Lonchura striata: one gene and its partners. The protein of the gene in region 3 purifies or fractionates together with the protein of the main gene of each other region. This does not show direct contact. Links are inferred from orthologs where the notes say so. Each region holds a gene or a part of one and is shown on either strand. Other genes may lie near its edges.

Region 1 (7,175 bases), on a different chromosome or scaffold from region 3:
GCAGGAATTCCCTGGAAAAGGCAGGAATTCCCATGGAAAGGCAGGAATTCCCTGGAAAAGGCAGGAATTCCCTGGAAAAGGCAGGAATTCCCATGGAAAGGCAGGAATTCCCTGGAAAAGGCAGGAATTCCCATGGAAAGGCAGGAATTCCCATGGAAAAGGCAGGAATTCCCACGGAAAAGGCAGGAATTCCCTGGAAAAGGCAGGAATTCCCATGGAAAGGCAGGAATTCCCATGGAAAGGCAGGAATTCCCACTGAAAGGCAGGAATTCCCATGGAAAAGGCAGGAATTCCCATGGAAAGGCAGGAATTCCCTGGAAAAGGCAGGAATTCCCATGGAAAAGGCAGGAATTCCCTGGAAAAGGCAGGAATTCCCTGGAAAAGGCAGGAATTCCCATGGAAAGGCAGGAATTCCCACGGAAAGGCAGGAATTCCCATGGAAAGGCAGGAATTCCCATGGAAAAAGGCAGGAATTCCCTGGAAAAGGCAGGAATTCCCTGGAAAAGGCAGGAATTCCCATGGAAAGGCAGGAATTCCCATGGAAAGGCAGGAATTCCCACTGAAAGGCAGGAATTCCCATGGAAAAGGCAGGAATTCCCATGGAAAGGCAGGAATTCCCTGGAAAAGGCAGGAATTCCCATGGAAAGGCAGGAATTCCCATGGAAAAAGGCAGGAATTCCCATGGAAAGGCAGGAATTCCCATGGAAAAGGCAGGAATTCCCTGGAAAAGGCAGGAATTCCCTGGAAAAGGCAGGAATTCCCATGGAAAAAGGCAGGAATTCCCATGGAAAAGGCAGGAATTCCCATGGAAAAGGCAGGAATTCCCATGGAAAGGCAGGAATTCCCATGGAAAAGGCAGGAATTCCCTGGAAAAAGGCAGGAATTCCCACGGGAAAAGGCAGGAATTCCCATGGAAAGGCAGGAATTCCCATGGAAAAGGCAGGAATTCCATGGAAAAGGCAGGAATTCCCATGGAAAAAGGCAGGAATTCCCACGGAAAAGGCAGGAATTCCCATGGAAAGGCAGGAATTCCCATGGAAAGGCAGGAATTCCCATGGAAAAGGCAGGAATTCCCTGGAAAAGGCAGGAATTCCCATGGAAAGGCCGCTGGGGTTACCTCCCGTGGCAGAATCCCGGGAATGCCGCAGGGCTGCGCTGGCCTCGCTCTCTGCCGGGAATTTCTCCCAAAATTCTCCCATTTTTCCCTCTCGTCTCCCACAGGCGGCGCCGCGAGGTCCGGCAGGACGGATCTGATCCCAGGAAAGAGAAAAAAACGGGAAAAGTCACCTGGAAATCCCCGGAAAAAACACCCGGAAATGCCGGGGAAAGCCACCAGGAAATTCCAGGATAAACCACCTGGAATTTTCTGCATAAACCACCTGGAAATTCCTGGAAAAAACACCTGGAAATTCCTAGGAGAACCACCTGGAATTTCCTGGAAAAATCACCTGGAATTTCCTAGAAAAAACACCTGGAAATTCCTAGAAAAAACACCTGGAAATTCCTAGAAAAAACACCTGGAAATTCCTGGAAAAGCCACCTGGAAATTCCTGGAAAAATCACCTGGAATTTCCTGGAAAAATCACCTGGAATTTCCTGGAAAAAACACCTGGAATTTTGTGCATAAACCACCTGGAAATTCCTGGAAAAGCCACCTGGAAATTCCTGGAAAAGCCACCTGGAAAAATCACCTGGAATTTCCTGGAAAAATCACCTGGAATTTCCTGGAAAAGCCACCTGGAATTTCCTGGAAAAGCCACCTGGAAATTCCTGGAAAAGCCAATTCCCACCTGGAATTCCCAACGATGGGAAGAAATCCTGCCCTGCTCTGCTTTTTTTTTTGGGAATTTTGGGAATAACGGAGCCCCCAGCCAGGCTTGGACAGGGATCCACACTCAGAAATTTGGGAATTCCATTCCCAGTGGGATCCAAACTGAGAAATTTGGGAACTCCAGCCCAGTTCCCACTGGGATCCAAGCTCAGAAATTTGGGAATATTTTGGATTTTTCCCCAAATTTCCCTGGATTTTGTCCAAAATTTCCCTGGAGTCTTCCCCAAATTCTCTTGGATTGTTCCCCAGATTCTCTCCCCAAATTTTTCCATATTTTCCCCAAATTCTACTGGATTTTCCCCAGATTATTTTGGATTTTCCAAAAACGTCTCTGGATTCTCCCCCAAAATGTTTCTGGATTTTCCCCAAAATGTCTCTGGATTTCTCTCCAAATTTTTCTGGAGTCTTTCCCAAATTATTTGGGATTTCCCCCCAAAATTATTTTGGATTTTCCCCCAAATTCCTCTGGAGTTCCCCCAAATTTCTCAGGATTTTCTCCAAATTCTTTTGGATTTCCCCCAAAAATTCCTCTGGATTTTCACACAAGTTTTCCCATATTTTCCTCAAATTCTCCTGGATTTTCCCCACATTATTTCAGATTCCCCCCAAATTTCTCCATATTCTCCCCAAATTTTTCTGGATTTCCCCCCAAATTTTCTCTGAATTTATCCCCAAATTCTTTTGGATCTCCCCCCAAATTATTTGGGACTTTCCCCAAAATTTCTCTGGATTTCCCCCATATTCCTCTGATTTTTTCCCAAATTTCCCCCAAATTTCTCCATATTCTCCCCAAATTCTTTTGGATCGTTCCCCAAATTATTTCCGATTTCCCCCCAATTAATTTTGGATTTCTTCCCCAAATTTCCCTGAATTTCCCACCAAATCATTTTGGATTTTCCTCAAATTCCTCTGGATTTTCCCCAAAATTCCTCTGGATTTCTCCCCCAAATTCTTTTGGATTTTCCCCAAACATTCCTCGGGATTTTCCCCAGAATTTTCCCAAATTTCCCTGTATTCTCCCCAAATTCTTTTGGATTTTCCCCAAAAATTTATCTGGATTTTCCCCAAATTCTTTTCAATTTCCCCCGAAATTCCCCCGGCTTTTCCCGTTCCATTCCCGGTACCCGCTTCCCCCCCCCCCCGCGGCCTCTCCCGGTGCTACCGGGAGCCCCGAGCAGCGCCCCGGGGCCGCTCCGCCGCCGCTCCCACAGCGCACGTACCGCGGGGGGCGGGCCCGGCCCGCCCGGGGCCTCTCGGGGCCTCCCGGTGCCGCCCGGTGCCGCCCGGGGCTCAGCGGCGGCCGCGGCCTCCTCCCGGTGCCGCCGCCGCCGCGCCGGAAGTGCCGCCCTGGCCGGAAGTGCCGCCCTGGCCGGAAGTGCCGCCCTGGCCGGAAGTGCCGCCCTGGCCGGAAGTGCTGCCCTGGCCGGAAGTGCCGCCCTGGCGGGAACTCGGTGGTAAAGGCGGAGAATGAGGGAATGAGGGGGCGTGGTTTAGCCTCCTAGTCCCGCCTTTTCTCCATCGCTATTGGTTGGGCATGCTGCTCGTCAACCGCCTCCCCGCGCGCTGATTGGCTGCGGTGGAGGACTTCCGGGATCGCCCGCGGCGGCGGCGGCGGCGCCGGTCCCGGTGAGCGCGCGGCGGGCGGGGCGGGCGCCCCCTGGCGGCGGGACCGGAGGAAGGGAGCGCGTCCCGGTCCCGGTCCCGTTCCCGGTCCTGCTCCCGGCTCTGCTCCCGGTCCTGCTCCCGGCTCTGGTTCTGCTCCCGGTCCTGGTCCCGGTCCCGGTGGCCCCGGAGTGTCTCTCGTGGGTAGTCCCGATCCCGCGGTCCTGTCCCCGGTGTCCCGGCCGCCCTCGCGTGGCGGGACGGGAGGGAGCGCGGTCCCGGTTCCACTCCCGGTCCTGGTCCTGGTTCTGCTCCCGGTCCCGTTCCCGGTTCTGCTCCTGCTCCCGGTCCTGTTCCTGCTCCCGGTCCCGCTCCTGGTCCCGGTGTCCCCGGAGTGTCGCTCTTGGGTAGTCCCGTTCTTGTCCCCGGTGTCCCGGCCGCCCCCGCGTCCCCGCGGTCCGGTGGTCCCGATGCCCATCCGGGATGTTCCCGGTGTCCCTCCGGGATGTTCCCGGTCCCGGTGTCCCTCCGGGATGTTCCCGGTCCCGGTGCCCATCCGGGATGTTCCCGATGCCCATCCGGGATGTTCCCGGTGTCCCTCCGGGATGTTCCCGGTCCCGGTGCCCATCCGGGATGTTCCCGGTCCCGGTGTCCCTCCGGGATGTCCCCAAGCTCCACCCGCGATGTCCCGCCCGGCTCCCGCCGCTCCATCCCCGGGTCCCGGTGTCCCCAAGGTGCCACTCAGTGTCCCCAGGGTGATACTCAGTGTCCCCAAGGTGCCATTCCCTGTCCCCAGGGTGCCATTCCACGTCCCCAGGTGCCACCCCGTGTCCCCATGGGTCCCATCCATATCCCCGCTGTCCCCTCAGGTGCCACCCCGTGTCCCCAGGGTGCCACCCCGTGTCCCCAGGGTGCCATTTGGTGTCCCCAGGCTGCCACCCCGCATCCCCAAGGTGCCATTCTGTGTCCCCCAGGTGCCACTCGGTGTCCCCAAGGTGCCATTCCCTGTCCCTGCTGTCCCCAGGGTGCCACCCCGTGTCCCCAAGGTGCCACTCAGTGTCCCCAAGGTGACATGTGGTGTCCCCAGGGTGCCATTTGGTGTCCCCAAGGTGCCACCCCTGTCCCCAAGGTGCCATTTGGTGTCCCTGCTGTCCCCAGGGTGCCATTTGGTGTCCCCAAGGTGCCATTCCCTGTCCCCAAGGTGCCACCCCGTGTCCCCAGGGTGCCATTTGGTGTCCCTGCTGTCCCCAGGGTGCCACCCCGTGTCCCCAGGGTGCCATTTGGTGTCCCTGCTGTCCCCAGGGTGCCACCCCGTGTCCCCAGGGTGCCACCCCTGTCCCCGCCGGCCGCGCCGCCGCCATGAGCGCCGAGACGTTGGTCAAGGACGTCAAACCCGGCCTCAAGAACCTCAACCTCATCTTCATCGTGCTGGAGACCGGTCGGTGCCACCCCCGTGTGCCCCCCGTGCCCCGGGTCACCCCGATGTCCCCGGGTCACCCCGATGTCCCCAGGGTCACCCCGATGTCCCCGGGTGACCCCGATGTCCCTGGGTGCCCCCGATGTCCCTGGGTGCCCCCGATGTCCCCAGGGTCACCCCGATGTCTCCGGGTCACCCCAATGTCCCCAGGGTGCCCCCGATGTCCCCAGGGTCACCCCGATGTCCCCAGGGTGCCCCCGATGTCCCCAGGGTCACCCTGATGTCCCCAGGGTCACCCCGATGTCCCTGGGTGCCCCCGATGTCCCCGGGTCACCCCGATGTCCCCAGGGTCACCCTGATGTCCCCGGGTGACCCCGATGTCCCCAGGGTGCCCCCAATATCCCCAGGGTCACCCCGATGTCCCAGGGTCACCCCGATGTCCCCGGGTCACCCCAATGTCCCCAGGGTGCCCCCGATGTCCCTGGGATCACCCCGATGTCCCCAGGGTGCCCCCGATGTCCCTGGGTCACCCCGATGTCCCCGGGTCACCCCGATGTCCCTGGGGTCACCCCGATGTCCCCAGGGTGCCCCCGATGTCCCTGGGTCACCCCGATGTCCCCGGGTCACCCCAATATCCCCAGGGTCACCCCGATGTCCCCAGGGTCACCCCGATGTCCCTGGGTCACCCCGATATCCCCAGGGTCACCCCAATGTCCCCTCGCTGTCCCCCCCAGGCCGGGTGACCAAGACCAAGGACGGCCACGAGGTTCGGACGTGCAAAGTGGCCGACAAGACCGGCAGCATCAACATCTCCGTGTGGGACGACGTGGGCAACCTCATCCAGCCCGGGGACATCATCCGCCTCACCAAGGGGTACTGGGGACCTCTGGGGACACTTGGGGACACTTGGGGACACTTGGGGACACTTGGGGACACTTGGGGACCCCACTGTGACCCCCAAACCCTCCTCATCCTCAGCTACGCCTCCGTCTTCAAGGGCTGCCTGACGCTCTACACCGGCCGCGGCGGCGACCTGCAGAAGATCGGCGAGTGAGGAGCAGCCTGGGGGGTTTTTTGGGGGGTTTTTGGGGGGTTTTTGGGGTGCCAGGGGGGTTCTGGCACCGGGGGCACCCCAAAAAGCCGCGCTGCGCCCGCAGGTTCTGCATGGTTTACTCCGAGGTGCCCAACTTCAGCGAGCCCAACCCCGAGTACGCGGCGCAGCAGGCGCAGGGCAAGGGGGTGAGTGTGGGGGGCACGGGGGGTGCCCGGGGGGTCTCAGCTGAGATTGGCACGAATCTGAGGGGATTTGCACCGAATCCCCCCGGGTTGACCCCAAATTCCTAAAAAATTACATCAAATTCCAAAAAAATTACATCAAATTCCAAAAAAATTACATCAAATTCCAAAAAATTTACATCAAATTCCAAAAAATTTACATCAAATTCCAAAAAAATTACCCCAAATCCTCATGGATTTGCACCGAATCCCCCCGGGTTGACCCCAAATTCCTAAAAATTTACATCAAATTCCAAAAAATTGACCCCAAATCCTCATGGATTTGCACCGAATCCCCATGGATTAACCCCAAATTCCAAAAAATTTACATCAAATTCCAAAAAATTGACCCCAAATCCTCATGGATTTGCACCGAATCCCCCCGGGTTGACCCCAAATTCCAAAAAAATCACATCAAATTCCAAAAAAATTACATCAAATTCCAAAAAAATTACATCAAATTCCAAAAAATTTACCCTAAATCCTCATGGATTTGCACCGAATCCCCCCGGGTTGACCCCAAATTCCAAAAAATTTACCCCAAATCCTCATGGATTTGCACCGAATCCCCCCGGGTTGACCCCAAATTCCAAAAGATTTACATCAAATTCCAAAAAAATTACCCCAAATCCTCATGGATTTGCACCGAATCCCCATGGATTAACCCCAAATTCCAAAAAATTTACATCAAATTCCAAAAAATTGACCCTAAATCCTCATGGATTTGCACCGAATCCCCCTGGATTGACCCCAAATTCCAAAAAATTTACATCAAATTCCAAAAAATTTACATCAAATTCCAAAAAAATTACATCAAATCCTCATGGATTTGCACCGAATCCCCCCGGGTTGACCCCAAATTCCAAAAAAATCACATCAAATTCCAAAAAAATTACATCAAATTCCAAAAAATTTACATCAAATTCCAAAAAAATTACATCAACTTCCAAAAAATTGACCCCAAATCCTCATGGATTTGCACTGAATCCCACAAATTCCCATCAAATTTCACAAATTTACCCTAAATCTCCACAAATTTACATCAAATTT
Region 2 (7,036 bases), about 58 Mb from region 3:
TCAGGAAGTTCCAAAATTATGCTGGAAGCTGTTGTTAGGGAAAGGAAATGTGTGAAGATTTGGTTTCAAATGCAGCTGATGTTACACAGTTAAAGCACATTTAGGTTCATATTTAACTTGCTGAATGCAGCTAGGGGCTCCCTTAGTAATTTTCCACCCTCCCACTGCTAGAGGGATTGAAATTCCTTATGGGAGTTCCTGTGTCTGCTAAGTAACTGCACTGTGCAGACAGCTTGCCCAGACTTTGCCGGTTTTGCTGGACAGGAATGGCCTTGGCAAAGCAATGTCCTGATTAACTAGAACCAAAACAGAAAGCAAACCTTCACTATTTTCTGTATCAGTTACTTTTCTGTTGATACTGTGAGGGCTTGATTTGTTACCTTACGACCAGTCAAGAAGACGGCTGTGTTTCAACTTCCTGCAGTCCTGGGCTTCGAAAACAATGGCTGTAATGGGCACTGTGGATTATGGGCTGTACTTAACACCTTGTTTGGGTTTTAGTAAAATAGATATGGGTCTGGATGAAGGCTACAACCCATTTAAAAAGGTCTGGCTTGATGATATTAATTGAATCTGCACCATGATCTTCCAAACAATTTTGCTTTTTGCTATTAACAAAATCCAGCGCTACTTATTTAGAAAGAAATTGGAAGCTAGTTAGCACGTTTGAAAGCAAAGGGTCCAGAAACAAGAGGGGAAAAGAGAGGAAGAAAAATTGCCTGTAGTTAGGAGGGAAAGGAATTATAATAATTTAATACTGAAGGCTGAAAACACCTCTGAATATTACCCGTGCTAGTGGCGATTATAAAAATCACATCACTGTCTTCTACAAGACACCTGGTACCCTGAATGTGTCCTTGTGAATATTTTCAGCTAAGAAGCTGAAAATAAAGATGAGTTTTTACCATCTGCTTGAAATACCATTAATGATATATACAGAAACTGGCAGATATGACTAATTAATAAGTTAGTATTTGTTAATGCTTTGAAGTTTGCAGGCTTTGGCTGCCTGGTGTCACTGCAGCAGTGCACAGAAGGGCTTCACAATTTCTCTTCCTTGCTGCTTATTCCCGAGTTGTGATATGAGAAGAAGAGTGACAGCCCATCAGGTTACTCTTCTGAAAAGCTATGCACTGAGTGAGGCAGGCTGTTCAGAGCAGAATAAACAGCACTTTATTCACCTCAAACACAGATGTAATAGAATGAGTTACGGAAATTAATGTAAGCCCTTGTTCACCTAATTTAATGTAGTTGAGCCTCTATCAGGTATTTGTCAGGAGAAATTGCGTACCTACGTTTGTCACAGACCTACAAAATAATTTTGGTTTAAAAGGACATCAACTCTGTTGAAAATGCGTCTGTTTAGATGGGATTTAGTATCCAGCTGAGTCTTGAACACAACTCCAAGGACAGAGATTCCATAACCTAAGGCCGCCTGTTCCAGTATTCGACCAGTGCCATTGTTAATCCGAAAAACTAAATACAGAGCCCTTTTTCTACATAAACAGCGCTTTTGGGCGGCTTTGCTCAGTCTGGTGGGTATCTGTGTGTGGGGACCGCGGTGCTCCCCGTGCGCCCCGCAGGTACCGAGCGCAGGGAAAGGGATGGGGAATGGAACTGGGAATGGGAAACAGCCACAGCCCCCGGCTCCCGCCTGGCGTGCCTCTGTTACGGGCGTAAAAACCAGCGCACAGCTCGGACAAGCAAAACGCGCAGCCGCCTTCTAAAGGACTTTGTTTCTTGCCCCTTACGGACGAACAGCGCGCCCCGAGCGCCCCGGGGCGTGGCTGCGGCGCTGCTGCTGCTCCCGCTGGGCACGGGTGACCCCACTACTCCCCTGGCAGCTCCTGCCCGCCGAGCAGGAGTTTGGGAGCCGGGGCTGCACAGGGGTTCATTCCAGGGGTTCATTCCTGGCATTCGTTCCCTCGGGAGCGCTCCCGGCTGCACCGCCGCAACCGCGCCCCGCGGCGGGCTTTGCCCGGCTCCGACATGGCGGCCCCGGCCTCGCGCCCGTGCTCTGCCCTGCCCGGTTCCGACATGGCGGCCCCGCCTTGTGCCCGGGCTGTCCCCTGCCCGGTTCCGACATGGCGGCCCCGCCTTGTGCCCGGGCTGTCCCCTGCCCGGTTCCAAGATGGCGGACCCGCTCCCCCCGCCCCTTCCCCGCCCCTCCCGCGCGCGCGCGGCGCCGCCTCACTTCCGCTTGTGCAGCAGCCATTTTGTCTTTCCGCCGCCGCCGCTGCCCGAGCTTCTCCCTCCCTCCCGCCGCCGCGGGCCGCGACACTCCAGTTCCCCCCCGGCGCGGCTCCCGCCGGGCCGGGGCCCATCCCGACCCCCTTCCCGCACCCCGGCAGGCTCCTCCGCAGCCCCTGAGGGCTCTGAGGGCGCGATGTCCAGCGAGGAGAGCTACCTGGCCATCCTGCGGTACCTGACGAACGAGCGGGAGCCGTACGCGCCGGGCACGGAGGGCAACGCCAAGCGGAAGATCCGCAAGGCCGCCGCCTGCTACGTGGTGCGCGGCGGCACGCTGTACTACCAGCGGCGGCAGCGCGACCAGCAGCGCTTCGCCGAGCTGGAGGTGGTGCTGCAGGCCGAGCGCCGCGCCCGCCTCATCCGCGCCGCGCACCTGGCGCCCGACGGCGCGCACCGCACCCGCCTGCAGACCTGGCACGGGCTGTCCCAGCGCTACTGGTGGAGAGGTGAGAGCGCGGCTCGGCGCGGCTCGGCTCGGCTCGGCTCCCCTGATGCGGGCTCGCAGCCTGTGCCAGCGCGCCGGCGCCTTCACTCGAGTGCTCTGGTTCTGTTCTGTTCTAGCTCCTCGCGTTCTCGCGTGGAACTTCCCGTGCATTAGTTTCCCTTCCTTGTGTCATTGCTTGGCACCAGCGGGACCTCGCTCCGTGCTCCTGGCACTCTCTATTTAGATATTTACCGACATTATGCGGTCCCCTCTCAGTCGTCTCGTCTCGAGGCTGAGCGGGCGCAGTTCCCTCAGCCTTTCCTCCTAAAGAGATGATTCGGTCCCTTAACCATCTTCGTTGCCTCCGCTGTAGCCGGAGTTGCATGTCTCCCTTGTGCTGAAGGTCTCCCTTCCGTGTTCCCATCCCTGGCGGGACAGGAGGGACTGTCACTCGCTGAGTGACCAGAGCCTTTAAACGCCACCTGGAAGCAGTGTGGCAGTGAGATGTGTCACAGCCCGAGAGGCAGGGCTCACCCTGCGCGCTGCATCTGGTCAGCGCATTGTCCAGGCTTCTGGTCGGGTGCTGGCACCTTGAATAGGTAGAAACGCGGAGTACAGCTGTCCCCTCCAGGTCTTGCACGCAGCCCAGGTAAGGCAGTGGCATCTCCACTGTGCCCTTGGGATAGGGTGATAATCCAGTCCACGTCACCTGTGTTAGCTTTGGACCTCATTCGTGCATGTGATGGTGTTCGTGTTAAAGTACTGCAGCTGCCAGTGGTGGTTGGCAGTCCTGGCATTCATTGCTTTATTTGTCTCCTTCTTGCAGCGACACGCTGAAGAGACCAGGCTAATTCTCAGCTGGGTCCTGAGTGATGTCACAGCTGTTAGAAATGCTGGTGCCTGAACAGCAATCATTTCCAATTGGGATTTTCTTTTGCCTGAGGAAATGACTCCATATCTTGTTCCCTTTCGATTTGCTGTTCTGCTTTTAGCCCTAGATATCCATGAAACAAATAGCCTGCTTTTCACTTGCCATGGGCCCAGTGTGTGTTTATGTTTATATTGCTTCTCTTGTTCTGCTCTCTTCATCCATCAGCAAGTCTGTAATTTCAGCTTTAGTTTTCCCTATTTTCAGTTGGAGGGATTTTGCTCTAGCTGCAGTCAGTCCCTCCAGTCCAGATCTCATTGACTTGAAGGTATTTTCATGTGAAGAAAGGGTTTGGCATCTCAAAGCTGATACACCCATTTTTGTTTCCTTGCCTTTATTTGCATTCTCATTGTCTGCTCAGCATTGTGCTGTTCTGGCATCTACTCTTATCCTGTGCTGGAAACTTTCTCCATGGGCCTGCCTCAGTGTAGCTTCTGTTAGTCAGGAGAAGGCATTCTGTATTCTTTTGATCTTATTGGTCACCTTTATTTGCACACCCTAAATCCTCTTGCTTCTCTTACACTGAGAATACTAAAATTCATTCCATGCTTTCAGTTCAAGTGTTATGTTTCTTACATATGTCTCCCTTAAGACAATGTTTTCCCAGGCATGACAGTACTCGCTGGCTGCTATGGACAGCAGCTTTGGCCCAGCTGCCATCCTGAGAAGGACATCAGCCTGCTGTGTGTCTGTTCTGTAGCTGCAAGGCCATGGGCTGGAGAATGGCTCTGAGGCCAGGAAGGGTGTTAGAGATGTGATTTGCAGCCCCTGTCTCATTTCAGATGAAATCAAGGAGATGTACAAATGTTGAAATGGGAATTAATATCTTAGCTTGCCTTAAGTCTCTGTTTTCCTCACCCTTGCAGAGACAGGTATTTAATGATAGTGCAAGTCATGCTCTGAGGAGATGTGAGCAAGCAAGTCTTAAGTCTGGGTCAGCAAAGCTTTTGAGCTGTGCTGGATTTTAAATCATGGCCACCTGCTATACGTGCTTTTATATTGTGCTGGTGAAGAGAACGAACTTGGATTGAAAGCCATGCGTGGCAAATGCCTTGGTATCTAGAAGAGGACCCTGCACCTAGGACCTGTTGAGTGTCTGAAATGATTTACAGAATTGCAGAAGGTGCTGAGTGGGAAGGGACGCACAAGGATCACTGAATACAGCTTCTGGCCCTGCACAGGACCATCCCCAAAAGGCACAAGAGTCATTCCTGAGAGCATTGTCCAAACACTTTGTGAACTCTGTCAGGCTTGGTGCTGTGACTGCTTCCCTGGGAAGCCTGTTCCGGGCCCAAACACCCTCTGGATGAAGAACCTGTTGTTAATATCCTACCTAAACCTCCCCTGACACAAATGCAGGCTATTTCCTTGGGTGCTCTCATTTATATTTAGTTCCACTGGTTAAAGTAGTGGTGGGAAATGGAGTTATTTAAATCCCAAAATCATAAGCAATTGTTTTAAATCAGCATTAATAGTTCCCATCAGTGTCATTGCATGTAGCACCGTTGATCCCAATTTTGCTAAAGCTCATAAGTGAGCCTTCCAATTCTTGTCCTCTTCAGGAGGAGCAAGCCATTTGTGTGGGCTAAATACAGGATTACATTACATTTGTCATTACCTTGGGATGATGAGACTAAATTTCTGAATACCGTGTTGGGTTTTGTTTTAGCCTTAATAACCTTTCTAGGAGGGTTTTCTTGATGTAGTGGTATTCAGAATGTTCTGTCTCAAATTAGCAGTAGAGACATACAATATATTGCAATGGTGAGACAATAGAATTGATAATATTGCATTAGAGAGGGAGAGTGTAGGTGACTCGCTTTATTTTTCTTGGTTAGTATGTAATATTTTTGATTATTATTGATATTTTGCTAATCTTCTACATAGTTATTTGTTTACAGTAAATGGAATTAAGATTAGAAGCCTAATCAAGCTCCATTAATTTTTTTTAGGTATTCTTAAGCAGGTTAAAGATTACATTAAAGAATGCAGCAAGTGCCAGGAAAAGCTAGATCGTTCTAGATCTCTGTCAGATCCTTCTGAAATGCTGGAGGAGCTAGGACTGGATGCAAAATCTCATGAAGACAGTAATGAAACAGATGATGAATTGAGTAACACAGCATCAATCCCAGCAGCATCCCCAAAGCCTGTGAAGAAGAAGCCAATAGCAAAGCACGAGCTTGTGTTTGTAAGTACCACTGTTTACAGCTGAATAGATTTGCATTTTCTATTACTGCTTTCTTGGTCATGTACTTCTTTTCCATTGTTGTGGTAATCTTGTTACAGCAAGACTATAAATTTTGCCAAAGATACCGAATATGTAGAAATGGGATACTGGTGTATATGTCATGAAATTAATTACAGGACACCATTGCTGGGAAATAAAATCACCCTATATATTACGCATATAGAATCTAAGGTAAAGTGAATGGCAGTAGTAAAACATCACATACCCGATTCTTATGGGCTCTATATCTTTCTCTTAACACATGATGCTGTACTGATATGTAAACTTCTTGTTCATAACTGCAGGCTCACATGCACATAAAAGACATTTGAATTTAGAAACTTTTTCAGACTGTAACATAGAAAAATACAGTCAAAGAGCTGTTTGAATATGTCTTCCCATTTTCCCAGTTGGTTTTAATTGTGTTTGGAGGGAGGGTGAAACTTAAAGAAAGAAAACAATAGTAAAGTTAAGCTGTATATTCTCCAGGCTTGAACTGATTGTATGGTTGCAGAAAATAATCCTTTTCTGTGTTTCAGTGTGAATGCTTAAAAAGGCACAATCTAAATGTAATGAAGTTCTTAAATGTTGTTTATGACAGGTTGACAGTAAGGGCCTTGTGAAGCAGTCATCTTCCAAACATTGTCTGTCAGTCTTAAACCAGCTGAATCAGCAGAGGCTTTCCAATCAGTTCTGTGATGTGACTTTGCTGATTGAAGGAGAGGAGTACAAAGCTCACAAATCTGTCTTGGCAGCCAACAGCGAGTACTTCCGAGAGCTCTTCATTGAAAAGGGAGCTGTCACTAGTCATGAAGCTGTAGTGGATCTGTCAGGTGAATTGCTGTGGGTTTCAAAGCTAGAAATCTATAATATCCTAAGTAAGGTGTACGGTATTTAATTCAGTCTTTTTTGAGTGTTAAAGACAACCAAATTTTATCTTGCTTTTTTCTCTATTTTAATCTAGAAATATTTTGTGTGGATTGTAATGCAAAAGTGATCACTCTGATTTTGCCTAATCTGATTTTCCATGGACTGTGGTATTTAACCTTAAAATTTCTGAGAAGCTTTTGAGGGATTTTTACCTTGCTTAGGCATGTTCCCTCCTTGTATTAGTCACAAATGTTAAAAAGGGAACAAAGTCGAATGCTTGGGTGCATCAAGTGGGGATGTTGACAAGCTGCTTGGAGAGTAGTTCAGCTTAACAAAT
Region 3 (7,178 bases):
TCAGTAACAACAGCACAGAAATTCATTTTACAAGCCATTCCTACTTCCCAGCCCATGACGGTTCTTAAAGAAAACATCATGCTACAGTCTCAGAAGCCAGTCTCACCTCCTTCCTCGATTGTGCTGAGTCCAGCACAAGTTCAGCAGGTGCTCACCAGCAGCGTGCAGACAATTTGCAATGGAACAGTCAACATGGCTTCATCTCCATCCTTCAGTGCCACCACCCCTGTGGTGACGTTCTCGCCCAGCAGCTCACAGGTGGTGTCTCAGCCATCAGGCACGGTGATCACTTCGGTCATTAAAGCACCGGACATGAAGCAGGTTGACCTACAAGAAGAGGAAAAGGAGGAGAGTGACAAAGCAGAAGATACTGAGCAGTCAGAGCAGAGATTCCAGCAGCAACCATTTGTGATGGTAGTGTCCAGTTCGAATAATTTCCCATCTAACATGCAAGTGAAGCAAGAAAATGAGCCATTGGAACCCAATTTGTATTGATAATTAAATAATTTTAAAAAAACTCCTGTGGATGATTATTTTCATAAATGTGATGGGACCTTTTCAGTTATGTATATATTATTTGATTCTGAAGCATGATTGTTGCAAAGCTACTAAAATTCTGCAGTTAATTCTTAGAATTCATGCTTTAAAATGGATTTTGATTTTCTGTTAATTGCTAAATGTTATCATATAAATAAAATTATATATTACTCATTTTTCAAAGTACAGGCATGAAGGAACATGCTTTTTATTCTATTAAGACTTTCTCCTGAGGTTGTTGGCCAAAGTTTCAAACTTCTCTTATTTTGGTGTCAGTCTGTTGCTGATTTACATTACAGTAATGTTATTGTAACCTTTTCTGTTTAATCTGTATGTGTATCACCTTTGGAAGCAGCAGTTAGTTTTAGTAAGACAGTTTCATTCCATGTGTCTGAATATTTGTGATTGAGTACCTGTTTCATATCAGTGAATGACATCAGTTTTAGACTTTGATAACCAGGTATCCTCTTGGATGTTTTGCAGCACAAGTTCTTGTGTGTGCAAAATTGAATATACACTCCTACTGAGAGTATTCAAAACAAGTATTCCAGAAATGGACAATGCCATGTCTATATTTTATATGGAAACATCAGATATATTTAATTACAGAAGCTAACGGCATCACTACAGGTGCAAATGTTTTATGCCATTTTGCGACTATGAAGCTTAACAATCTTGCTTTCTACTTCAGATTATTTTGTAAGGGGGGAGGGAAATTAAATATATACAATTTATGCAGGTTTTTGGAGATTAATACTGCTAAGAGTTCTTGGTTTTGATTGTAAATACTGTATATTCAATGTTGCAGGGAAGTTTTTTCAGCTAATTTTTTCCATACAAACTTTTGATAGATGCAAATAAGATCAATAAGATTGTTATGTTTAGAGGTCTAATGTTATATGTATTCATATTACTGAGTGACTTTGTATTTAAAGACAAATTTTTAAATGATGGAGCCCATGGAACCTTGGGTCCTTCTTTTGTATTTTTAATTGGTTTATTATGAAAATAAATCAAATGGAAAAAACATTTTCCTGTATTTACTCCAAAATGTTTTTTATTATTATAAAGTTTTGACGATCACCATGAATAAGTAAAATACAGTGAGAAACAGTACAGGGTGATTAGTCAGTGTGGGTCTATGGTGGAACATGAGCAATTCACAAATCACTTCTGAACAGACTTTAACGCAGTCAGTCAGTGTGCTGTCAGTATCCTTTGAAACAGCAGTAATGTATATTTTTGTAACTGAACTGAAGGTTGTGATAAATCCAGGAACTGGACTTAAACTTCTTTTCCATCACTTCCCAGTATGTGACAAAGAAACAACACGAAATTCTGAGTGTAATTCACAAAGGTGGTTGTAACTTGTATGATACAACTGACAGCCCAAACTATTAGGGCTTCAAAAACTTGCATGTTGCAGTGTTTAAGTAGAGGGCAAGTTAATAATAAATATTGTGCCTGGTATTATGATTCTGTCAGTATAAAATGAAAGGGAATATGACTTTCTATGATTGAATTAATGTTGGAGTTTTATTGATTGGTTGTTAAGGTTAAATATGACTTGGAGCACTAATACTAGAAAAACTAATAGGAGTAGAAGAGTGGCAGAGAGAGTATGGTCTTGCTGCTTGACAGAAGGAACTCTAGAAACTATTGAACAAGCAATTCTCTGCCACAGCTGCCCTGTTAGTTCAATGCTTCTCTCTGACTCTTTACAGCCACGTTTCCACCTGCAAACCCAGTGCCTCACCCAATTTACAGGAAGGCTGGTCATACCCACACCAGTGGTTGTTTATCTGACAGCACTCCCTGCAGCTAGGGAGTGCTGGCAATATTTTCAGGAATGTGGATAAGCTTTGTGGAAGCATATCTGGTAATAGTCCTCACTCTGAGGGCTGTGTTAGATTGACAGAAGCACTGGAGAGGGAGGCTAATTTTTTAAATCAAACTACAACATAGGGATGTTTTCCTTTCATAGTTCTAGAAAATCTGAAGTGGTAATGCTTGACTGACATAAGTGGTTTTAGATACAGGGACATTGCTTTGGTGTTTACTGGAAATGTGGGGGGAAAGAAATTTGCACCATAAGATTACAGCTTCACCAACAAAATTTCATGCCATAGATGCAGCTATTACACATGGAAAATGATTTGTCAGTTTAGTTTTTGTCAGTTGGAGAAGTGGTGGAAATCTCCAGCAGCAATAATGTGTCTCCAGCAGCGGACTGTTGTGTAACACACAGTAAATGGAAATCACTCCCTCCCCATATCCCTTGGGCTCTGGTGTGCCAGCCGGGTGGATCTGTGCTTTGAACTCTCGTTGATATGGCAAAGGAAGGGAGAAGCTGGAGCAAATAATAAAATGAGAGCTCACATTGGGAGTTTGAGCAACCCCTCCCGTCACAGCTGCCTTTGTGCCTGTGGCAGCAGCCAAACAAAACATGACAGCTTAAGTCCCAGCCACCTCTGAGTCAGAAAATAAAAATTGAAGCCTTGGTTCTTGTCCACACATGTGTGAAGCCACAGAGGGAAAAAAGGCACTAGTTTATTTTTGAGGCACACAGAAGGAAATGCCATCTGGAGGAGGTGGAGGAGGATGGAGGCCACAGGCTGTCTTTGTGAAGTCCTGTCCACCACCCTGTTGTCCTGAACATGGGCTGGGTGCCTGGTGCACAGCACCAGCTGACACACTGAGAGGTATTTCTAGTTTTTATTCTGATTTGCACAAAGTAGGGAGCTAGGTCATAACCCACAAAAGGCTGGTTCTCTGATTACTAAAACTTCACACTGGTTATAAATTTTAACAAACAAAGGCCTCCACTGGTTACAGATTTTATAACTTTTTTGTTAATTAATACTCTAACCTCTCTTGCTAGAGGTATTATAAACTGCACCAGTGGAGGTTTAGGTTGGATATTAGGAAGAATGAGGGCAAGCAGATACTGGAATGGGCTGCCCAGGGAGGAGGAGGTGGAGTCACCATCCCTGGAGGTGTTTAAGGAAATACTGGACTTGGCCTGGCTGTCACGGTGGTGTTCAGTCAGCGGCGGGACTCGATGATCATTTCCAGCCAAACGGACTCTGCGATCTCTTGCAGTTCTTCCCTCCCTCTGCCCTGCTTTAGGAGGTGTCGGGGCGTCCCCACGTCCCACTGCCGCAGTGACCTTTCCGCAGCTCTGCCCAGCCTGCTGACAGCCAGCTCCTCTGGTGATTGTGCTCCCTTTTCCTTTAACACCGCCCATCAGCCACGCCTACGATGCTCACAACGCAACTGCGCAACTACTCAACCATCCCTGCTACAGCTACCGGTTAACAACCGGAAAAAAAATTGCCGGCTTCGATACAAATCCTCGGCAGCTCGGAGCCCGAGGCGCCGTCTCCCCGGCGGCAGGCAGGGGGCGCTGCGCGGCGGGCGGGGCGGGGCGCGCGCGGCCGCTCCCGCGCCTCCCGGCAGCCCGCGCGCGCGGCCTGGCGCGGTGCGAGCGGCGCGGGCCCGGGGCGGCTCCAGAAGTTTCGGGGGGCGACGGGCGGCATGGAGGAGGCGGCGGCAGCGGCCCCGCCGCGGTGAGCGCCCTCCTCCGCCCTGCCTCCCCCGCGGCCCCGCCGCCCGCCCGCCCGCTGACGGCGTTGTGTTTCCTTGGCAGGTTCTCGGACGCGGACGTCGACCGGGACCCGGGGGTGGCGGCGCAGGTGAGGGCCGGGCCGGGCCGGGCCGGGCCGGGTCCCTCGGGGGTCCCTCGGGGGTCCCTCGGGAACCCGGCTCAGGTGAGGTCGGGCTGCAGGGGAGCCCGGCGCAGACCTGCCACAGTGCTCGTGTTGCCTGTGTGGCAAAGAAGGGGTTGGGGGGGGAAAGCAAAACAAACCAACTTTCTCTTCCGTGTAGGTAGATGATAGCTCACACAACTACATCCGTTAAGATTTGTGGGTATAAAACCCCAAGTTTATTGAAGAGAAGTTTTTCATCTTAGTTTTTATTTTGCCCTGGTCTACTTTATTCCACTCCCTACATTTTGTGGGCATCACGACTGATCTTCCATTCATCTGCATAGAAAATAATTTTTATGTAGTGGGAACGATCTCTCACTGAAACACCCTCCCCACGGACGTGGTAGAGTCCCCATCACTGGAGGTTTTCAAGACTCGAATAGGCAGGTTGCTAGATACTCTAATCTAGGCAGGCTTTCCCATGAAAGGTTAGATGAGATGATCCTTTGAGGTCCCTTCCAACCTGGCCTGTTCTATGTCTTCATCACTTAGTATGTTTTAATGTGTTTTCGAAGATAATTTTTACTTAGATGGTTGATGAGAAGACAGAGCTGGAGGGTGGCTAAGTATTTCTATTTAACTACTTGGGAGGGGAGAGGATGTAAATTGTTAGTACTGCTTGAAGAGAGTGGGTGGTAGAACCATTAAATGATACTTAATTATCTTTCCACAAAGAAAATGGTGAAGCTAAATTTTTCACTATTTTAGGGTTTAGGCTGTAACTTGTAGAAGTTTTTCAAAAGATAAATGACATTTAAAAACCAATTTGGAATAGCCAAATCTATATGGCACAACAAAAATAATTAAAGATCTAAAAAATGGTGTAAATTTCACATTTTGTAGTTTAAAAAAAAAAAACCAAAACAAAACATGAGGGAACAAGCTAAAAATCCCTGACACCAGGTCTTCAGAAGTATTAAGGAATACTGTTACAATGTGGTTTTGTATTTTTTCCTGGATTAACATAGTTGTTTTGCTTTTCTAGCTTCTATTTCAGTTCTTTGTGCATTCAGTGCTTCAGAACATTATGTAACCCATTCTATAGGCATTATTTAATACCTGACACAGTAATACTCGTGTCAGTTGTTAGGCCTTGTTTTCAAATCCCTGGATTGAGTAGGCAGATTGTGCTTGGTGGTCTCTGAACTGGTAAGTGCCACAGCTCAGAGCAGCATTTTCCTGACTTAGAAAATTTCCAGGTGCTACACTGTTCTGCATGGTCTTATGTGTGATCTTTATGTTCATGTGCTTAATATTTCTAATCTGGGGGATGATTGTGTAGACATGGTGCTATGTAATTTCTTTCATACCTGGCTGGGCTTCTGTCCAGTTGGCCTAGCATTTCTGCACTGTGTCCTTGGGATTCTTCTTGATTGCTTTAATTCCTGGAGGTTGTGCTTTGGCTTTCTGTACTTGGATCTGATGCAATTGAAAGATCATCATCTATCTTCTAATACTTTCTGAATGATAAAGATGTGAAATCATGAATGACTTCTTATTTTAAACTGAAAATGTAAGCTAGTACGTGGAGACAGAAGGTGCCTTTAATTCAGGCAAACTCTTTACCAAATTTTTCAGTGTGTTTAGAAACAGATCTGCAATTTGGTCACATGGTAAGGGCCTTTAGAGTCAAAATATGCAGAAAGCACATACTTGAGTGTGAGGACAAAGTCTAAGCTTGTTCTGAGTAACTGTTGCTGATGTCCATAGTCTGGAGTTCCCAGTGCTAGTCCAGTATGACTTGGCTTCTCAAATAGCTTACAGGAGTTACTTTCTCTGTGTGTCTGGATGAGATATGGTAACCTACTGATAAAAAGCACACAAAGAGAGAAGTTTTACACTGTTGAAAATGCTTGGCATTGCTTTACTTTCCTGGGGTGAGGGTTAGTTTTGTAGGAAGATCCATTTATGTGTTGCTGACTCTAATCAGTGCATCCGTCATCAGCATAAATCGCAGGAAATAATGTTTGGGGGGGAGAGGTGATCTGTCAAAGCAGTTGCCTCTGCACCTGAATATGCCTGTGATGTTCAGTATCAGAGTCAGGCCCTGCTTGGTGCTTCACCTCTCAGCATAATATGAACCAATTTTAATATGTGCATTGCCTCACATCCCTGCCATGTGGAATACCTGTAGCCATGAGTGTTTCCATAATGACAGCTGCTTTTGAATGACTTTAAATCTCAGGAAGGCATCAGTAAAAGTGGATCAAGTTACTGCTGCCTACTGCCTGCCCCTTTCTCAGAGACCCCCCAAGGATCTAGATTTATGTGCTGTACCTCTATAGAGGTGTGTGTATGTTACACAGTTAGAACTCGTGCCACTGCTAGAAGCTGTTCTGGCCACATAAGTCCTTGGTGGCATAAACACTTTATGTGACATCTGCTAGAAAAAGACACTGGTCTGAATTAGAGCTAAGGCAAGTCCTACTTCCCTTCTTTTTTCCCTGTCTTGGTGGGATAGAGTTTTGGCAGCTGTGCTGTACAAATATTTATGCAGGTTTAAAGCTTGTATCTTAGCTATGTTCATGCTTACTAGATTCCAGGTAGAAGTCTTGAGTAGAAGTCAGCTTAGCAAACAGAATTACTGTACTGTAGCAGTGTAATGTAGTTGCTTTTGGAAGACTGGTTTCTAGCAAAGGGAAGAACTCTCACCAGTAAGCAGAGAATTGGAAATGCTCTTTTCAGCTGTGTGCTTCAAGTTGCTGTGGTTTTACTCTATGGCCAAACCCATTAACTTTTCTCAGAGAGAGCAATGTGTTGTTATTTCAATCCATATATCCTGTGATTCTCTTTACAAAGGACTACTTTATGCTTATTTTCATTGTTCAATAATACCTCCTCTGAACCCTGTGCTCCATAAACCTTTTGTTC

Evidence for each region. Proteins that work in one complex are often made in the same cells at the same time.
Region 1: the proteins of SUGT1 (region 3) and RNF41 purify together in Homo sapiens (affinity purification with mass spectrometry; 3 studies listed by BioGRID and IntAct, with this or other methods). This does not show direct contact. The link is inferred for Lonchura striata from reciprocal best matches to the Homo sapiens genes SUGT1 and RNF41.
Region 2: the proteins of SUGT1 (region 3) and CEP97 purify together in Homo sapiens (affinity purification with mass spectrometry; 3 studies listed by BioGRID and IntAct, with this or other methods). This does not show direct contact. The link is inferred for Lonchura striata from reciprocal best matches to the Homo sapiens genes SUGT1 and CEP97.

What each region holds. Positions count from the first base shown.
Region 1 is NC_134629.1:5,463,449-5,470,623, forward strand, and holds the start of RNF41 (E3 ubiquitin-protein ligase NRDP1), read right to left. Parts: upstream 3,121-7,175; 5' UTR 3,052-3,120; intron 1,251-3,051; 5' UTR 1,118-1,250; intron 1-1,117. UniProt on the Homo sapiens protein: Acts as E3 ubiquitin-protein ligase and regulates the degradation of target proteins. Polyubiquitinates MYD88. Negatively regulates MYD88-dependent production of pro-inflammatory cytokines.
Region 2 is NC_134604.1:734,005-741,040, reverse strand, and holds the start of CEP97 (centrosomal protein of 97 kDa), read right to left. Parts: upstream 3,121-7,036; 5' UTR 3,099-3,120; coding exon 2,927-3,098; intron 2,697-2,926; coding exon of another isoform or gene 2,387-2,696; exon of another isoform or gene 2,275-2,386; intron 1-2,274. Other genes in the region: ZBTB11 (zinc finger and BTB domain-containing protein 11), read left to right, coding at 2,387-2,696, 5,555-5,790, 6,431-6,662. UniProt on the Homo sapiens protein: Acts as a key negative regulator of ciliogenesis in collaboration with CCP110 by capping the mother centriole thereby preventing cilia formation. Required for recruitment of CCP110 to the centrosome.
Region 3 is NC_134604.1:59,043,968-59,051,145, reverse strand, and holds the start of SUGT1 (protein SGT1 homolog), read left to right. Parts: upstream 1-4,001; 5' UTR 4,002-4,074; coding exon 4,075-4,106; intron 4,107-4,186; coding exon 4,187-4,232; intron 4,233-7,178. Other genes in the region: ELF1 (ETS-related transcription factor Elf-1), read left to right, coding at 1-495. UniProt on the Homo sapiens protein: May play a role in ubiquitination and subsequent proteasomal degradation of target proteins.